Ovis aries: one gene and its partner. The protein of the gene in region 2 binds, or shares a complex with, the protein of the main gene of each other region. Links are inferred from orthologs where the notes say so. Each region holds a gene or a part of one and is shown on either strand. Other genes may lie near its edges. The genes, in order: S100A13 and IL1A.

The links.
Region 1: the proteins of IL1A (region 2) and S100A13 are in contact, whole or in part, in an NMR structure (PDB 2L5X), measured with the Homo sapiens proteins. The link is inferred for Ovis aries from reciprocal best matches to the Homo sapiens genes IL1A and S100A13. Residues at the interface, in NP_000566.3 of Homo sapiens: Asn148, Gln150, Tyr151, Thr194, Ala195, Gln196, Asp197, Leu203, Leu204, Lys205, Glu206, Met207, Gly216, Ser217, Glu218, Thr219, Asn220, His239; in NP_001019381.1 of Homo sapiens: Met1, Arg25, Gln26, Glu27, Gly28, Arg29, Lys30, Asp31, Ser34, Asp68, Ser69, Glu70, Lys72, Phe73.

What each region holds. Positions count from the first base shown.
Region 1 is NC_056054.1:104,062,056-104,064,536, forward strand, and holds the end of S100A13 (protein S100-A13), read right to left. Parts: intron 975-2,481; coding exon 831-974; 3' UTR 746-830; downstream 1-745. UniProt on the Homo sapiens protein: Plays a role in the export of proteins that lack a signal peptide and are secreted by an alternative pathway. Binds two calcium ions per subunit. Binds one copper ion. Binding of one copper ion does not interfere with calcium binding.
Region 2 is NC_056056.1:60,205,788-60,209,614, reverse strand, and holds part of IL1A (interleukin-1 alpha), read right to left. Parts: intron 3,187-3,827; exon of another isoform or gene 3,091-3,186; intron 2,906-3,090; coding exon 2,683-2,905; intron 1,072-2,682; coding exon 898-1,071; intron 1-897. UniProt on the Homo sapiens protein: Cytokine constitutively present intracellularly in nearly all resting non-hematopoietic cells that plays an important role in inflammation and bridges the innate and adaptive immune systems.

The DNA of each region.
Region 1 (2,481 bases), on a different chromosome or scaffold from region 2:
GCCTCTCCAGCCAAGGATAACAGGGTCCACTGAGAGGATCCCAGTTCATCACAGAGGCTCTGGAATTTCAACCCAGTTTCATCTATTCTTTTTTTATTATTATTATTTATTTGGCTGCACCGGGTCTTAGTTGTGGTACACGGGCTCTTCGACCTTCACTGTGCAGGATCTTTAGTTAACAGCATACGGGATCTAGTCCCCCGACCAGAGATGAAACCCAATTTCTCCACATTGGAAACGCGGCCACTCCACCAGGGAAGTTCCAGTTCCATCTATTCTTGTCTTTGTGACTTAACCTCTCCAAAGTCTGTTTCCACATCTTTGATACAGGACTTAAAAATAGTACTTACCTCAACAGCCTGTGAGAATTAACTAATACAAGAAAATGCTCAGCACCATTCCCGGCACAGACCAAGCCCTCAACACATGTTCACTGCTATCACTACCACCCAAGGACGCAAACCCTGGGAATAAGAAAGTGAAAGCCAGGGCCAAGCCCCAGAGCAGCTGGTGGGATATAAGTCCCCTCACACGTCCCAGAGATCTCACTCTCCCTTTCACATATTCACTCATCAACCATGTATTACTGAGCACCTACCCGTTCAAGACCTGATGGTGCAGAGTATTTGAAGACGAATTATGTTGGTGCTCATAATTTTTGGACTTGCCCTCAGGTGGGGGCAGAGCTTTCCCACCCCCCTGGTCTCAAGAGAAGAAATCAGGATGGGCGTGAATAAGCAACATCTGTGTTTCAAGGAGAAAGCTTTATTTGAAGGGAGTGGGGTTCAACCCAGCCATGCCATGCCGGCCCCCATCCCAACCAGCTGGCTTCACTTCTTCCGGATCTCCAGGGCCTTCTCTTTCCTCATCTCCTTTGCCAGCTCCCCAATCAGCCTCCAGTACTCGCTGAACTTGAGCTCTGAGTCCTGATTCACATCCAAGCTCTTCATCTTCTCATCTAAGGAGCCCACATCCTGAGGAGACACCACAGCAAACAGTGGAGTTAGAAATGACTGTTTTGACACAGGGAGACAGGGAAGAATTGCCAGGCACTGTTCCCGTCCCTCAAAGAGCACGAGGGCTACCCCCACACCTTCTGGATGAAGCTGCAGCCCCAACATGGCACTGCCCAGGTGCCCAACTCCACCAGGCGGAAGCAAAGGATGGAAGTGGGGAACCTCGTTATAGTGTGTGCTGTGATCTAAATACACCCACCATGGGGGATTGTGAACCATAAATGTGATGTCCCTGAACGCAGAGTGGGGAAGAGACGCACAAATGGGCCTTCAACTGCAGGTGCCAGGAGGCTTCAGCACATCACTGCACCAGCCCTGGGATAAGCCCAAGGACACTTGGGGAGCCCTTGTAGGCAGGGACTCCCTCTGACCACCCTCAGAGTCTTCTCAGGGCACCCTCCTCCTTCACAGAAAGTTGGAGGAGTTCACAGCACTTTGCTGCCTGCTTGCATAACCCTAATCCCTTCTCATTCTTCCAGCCGGGTCACTAGCCTGGTAGATCAGGAGAATGGCAAGGACACAAGGTATCTGGTTTTCTAGGGGGTCCTTGGCCAAGTCTCTCCCAGCAGACCTGTGAAATCTAAGGCTATTCTAAGTCGGACCACCGTGATCAAAGGATTTGTTGCCAGATGGATAACCACAGCAGAAAAGTTGACTATTGAATGGCGGACCCATGTCGAACCAGACAAGCATGCCTCAGGCACAGCGCATGCCCAACATCTGAATCAACGTTTGGATGACGGTTAAGAAGGCTTTCCAGATCTATAGACGGCACGAAACTAATTCACAGAAGAGCTCAACAGGCTTTTTTAAAGGCCGCAATCACACTTAACTGCAAAATACTATAAGCACTGCCAGTGGAAAGCAATTGCCAGTGTAACGCGGGGAGGGAGAGGGGAGACATACAATTAGTCAAGAGAAAGAAACAAAAGGTAAAATTGTTAAGAAAGAAGATGTCAACTCACCCCTTGTTATATTAGCAATTATATAATTGTATACCTAGGAAAAACCAAAAAGAGCGATAAAAGCTAACATTTCAATAAGTGTAAGCATTTAATAGTGCTGACTGTTCCAAGCATTATGCTGAACATATTACATGCTTTCCATCATTCAGTCTTCATAATCTGCTAGAATGAAAGGCTCAAGGAGCACAGGGGTCTTGTCCATCTCGTCCACCACCATGATACCAATGCCTGGGAGAGTGTTTGGCATATAGTGGGGGCTTGTTCACTACTATAACCCAAAGCCTAGGACAGTGTCAGAATAGGACATAGTAGGCACTCAGTAAACACTGACTGAATTAATGCAAGACCAGTCCAACAAGAACGGTATTACTACGAGTCCAGTTCACAGATGAGACGTTAAGGCTCAGAAGGATTAAAGGACTCATCACAGATGACAAACTAGACCCTGTATCTGAACCTAGGTTGTCTAACTCAGAGCTTATGCTCTTAGCTGCAATTCT
Region 2 (3,827 bases):
CCTTAAGCTAAAAATATGTGCAACATGGAAGCTGGCTTGGTGTAACAGAATTTCTTGGATCCTAAATTTCATTCTTCAGAACACATGCAAATCTTCCAGTTTTGTTTTTTTTCTTTAAAATTATTGGGTGCTTTGCCTCACAATTATGTTATCAAAGATAAGGACTCTTTCTAGTTTGGTGTTATTAGGAAGTTTGATGAGAAGGCTCCTCATTGGCTTCTGAGTAAATTTGGGTAAGTCATTATATATTTCTGAGACTCAGTTTCCTTACCTTTAAAATATGAGGATAAGAGTGTCTCAGAGAACCAAGGGAGATAATACCTCAGAAAGCTTTCTACTGCACTTAGTGCTTTCAGAGCTAGGACACTTGTTAAAGCTTTCAGATTTGGTTGAAGTTTCTGGCCTAACCCAGAAGTTTTTTTTTTTTTTTTTTAATTAAAATGTGCTTCCTGTGCAAAGCCAGGAATCTAGAGAGGTTTATTCTTTAAAAGCAGAAAGCTTAAAAGAAATGCAGAAATAAAAAGGTGAGGAGAGGGCTTCCCTGGTGGCTCAACGGTAAAAGAATCTGCCTGTGAATGCGAGAGACAAGGGTTCGATCCCTGGTCCGGGAAGATCTCACATGTGGTGGACAACTATTTAGCCACTGCTTGAGAGCCCAGGAACCACAACTATTGAGCCCTTGTGCTGCAGCTGCTGAAGGCTGAGTCCCCCATAACCCCATGCTCTCCAGCAAGAGAAGCTACCATAACGGGAAGCCAGAGCACTGCAACTAGAGGGCAGGCCCTGCTTCCCACAACTAGAGAAAAGCTCCTGCAGCAATGAAGACCCAGCACAGCCAAAAATAAACAAATCAATCTTTTTTTTTAAGATGGGGAGATGACAGAATTGTCCATTTACCTGCCTCCTCCAGATTATTTAATGTAGCAGCCGTCAGGTATGGACCTGACATATCTCGAATTATACTTTGATTGAGGGCGTCGTTCAGGATGCATTCCTGGTGGATGACTCTCATAAAGTTGTATTTCACGTTACTCTGGAAGCTGTAATGTGCTGATCTGGGCTTGATGATTTCTAAAACCATTATCACAAGCTCAGATTAATGTCCAAGTACAAACATGGATGATGTATCTGCTCTAATACAAGCATACAAAGTAGTTATTGAAGGCACCTGAAGAATATCCCAAGGGAGGTGAGGAAATTGACATAGAAGTGAAATCACCCCATCAGCGGAATTGATTCCAGGATTACCCCTGTGGTTACTTAGTCTAAAAACTTTGATTCTTCAGGCAATGGTGGTTGTTGTTTTTTTTAAGAGATCACATGTACAACTTTTTTGGTTGTTTGGAGGTTTGGAAATAACCGGGAAGACTCCTCGTATTCTCCAACTACATTTTCAAATGAATGCACCCTGAGAAAAGAATCCACTAAAAATTTTATATGTCACTGAGGTGCCAGTATAAATGTCTACCATCTTTTTGCTTTAAAAAAGTTTTTTTCGTTTTTTTTTTTTTTTTTTTTCCTATCTACCACCTTTCTGAACGGTGGTATGTTTCGAAGCTTTACAAATCTTCATGGCTCTGAATACTTTTACTTACAGGAATGTTTTATCACTGAGGAAATAAATGATGATAGAAATCAAGATTTATTGATATAGACAGTCATTGTCACATTACATATATTGGTGAAAAACCGGTGCTCTAAAATGTCCTTTATGTATTGATAAATGAGGAAAGCTGCATATTAAATTGCACATGGTTGATCCTAGGAATGTTCTTCATGTTTGTTACTCTGTATGTACACAGAAAAGACTGTAAGGAAAGCAATGTAGTGCTGGCAGTGGTAAACTCTGAGGGGTGGTATGAGTAATTTTAATTTTTTTCCTTGTATTTTCTAATTTTCTAGGTGAACACGTGTGATCAACTGTTACTTTAAAAATATTAGATTTATAATTCACGAAGAGGCTTGTACAGTAAAGGCAAGGGGGAAAACTCATGACATCTATAGTCAGGTAGAACTGATATGATTTGATGCTCTACCCTTACAGACTGTGAGATTTGGGGCAGGTCACTATCTCACTGAGCTTAGTTTCCTCACATATAAAATGAGAGTGCAGAGTTGTTGTGAAGGTTAGAGATAATGCAATCATTAATAAGTTAGTAGTGTTTGTAGTATTAGCAAAAGTAATAACAACAATAATAGCGAACATTTATTAGGTATTTTCTATGTGCCAGGCATTATTTTAGTTCAGAAGTCAGCAAGTGTTGACTCATTTAATCTTCACAACAATTAGGGGCTTGGATTAACTCCATTTACAGTAGAGGAGACCAGAACATAGAAAGGTTAAGTAACTTGCCCAAGACATAACCAGTATGTGGAATAGCATAACCTATAAGTGGTCACTCACTAACAGTATATAATTACTTTCTGCCAATAGGCTAGAAGTCACATGACTTAATCATATGGCCACCAAGTAAGCCTGTGAGCACATATGCTAAGCTCAAGCACTTACTGCTCTCTTCCCTTTGCAGAAGGATAAAAATTAATTTTCATTTCTTATAATTATCAGACAAATGGGTGGTTACCCTCTTGTTACTCTGGTTTTAGGTTTTATTTCCCCCTACACTCTGCTGTCTGCATTTTGTTGAAAACAGAAAACAAGGATATTATTGTTTGACCCCTTACCTTCTTCGGTATCATTGGCAATGGCTTCCAGGTCGTCATCAGTGATGAACTGATTTAAACTCAACCGTCTCTTCTTCAGAATCTTGCCATTGGCTGTCACCATCACCACATTCTCCTTGAAGCTAAGCCTGGATGTCTTGGAGGTTTCCGAGGTATCCAGGGACATAAACTTATTCATGTGGTCCTCACGAAGTGGCTCATAGCTTGCATCATAGAAGGACTTCTGCGATAAAGGAAAATAGGAACTGAGAGGCCAGTGAACAAGACTCCTTTACAGTAGGAGTTTTGTTCAACTGTCTTAGAGAGAAGGGTGGCCATTTTGGCCTTGGCGACCCACGTTCCATCGGTCTTTCCCTCCCCCGACTCTCCTTCCCCCTTTCCTCTGTATGCCTCCCCTTTCCCTCTTACCTCCCACCTCTTCTTTTAGGATTTCCCTCAAACGATGTGATCTTGGCAAGGTTTTTTGTCATCCCTCTTCAGACTCAAAAATGAGACCTTGTTATACTTGGTGAAGTAAGTCAGAGAAAGACAAGTACTATATGATATTACTTACATGTAGAATCTAAAAAGTAATACATGGCTTCCCTGGTGGCCTAGTGGTAAAGAATCCCCCTAACAAGGCAGTTTGGGAAGCTCTCACTTCCTGTGGAGCAATTAAGCCCCTACGCCACAACTGTTGAGCCTGTGCTCTAGTGCCCAGGAACCACAGCTACTGAGCTCACATGCCGCAGCTATTGAAGTCCATGCGCCCTAGGGCCCATGCTCTGCAGCAGGAGAAACCAGCCCATTGAGCAGCCCAAGCACCGCAACAAAGAGTCACCACCGCTTGCTCGCTGCAACTGGAAAAAAGCCCACGCAGCAGTGACCCAGAACAGTCAAACATAAATAAATAGAATTATTTTAAAAATAACTTGAAAAAAATATACAAAGGAGCCCATAAACAGATCAGCAATAGACTCACAGACATAGAAAACAAACTTAATGGCTATCAAAAGGGAGAGGGAAGGTTAGGAGGGATGAACTAGGGATATGAGATTAGTAAATTCAAACTACTATACATAAAATAGGTAAGCAAAGATTTACTATATAACACAGGAAATTATATTCAGTACCTTGTAATAACCTATATTAGAAAATCATCAGAA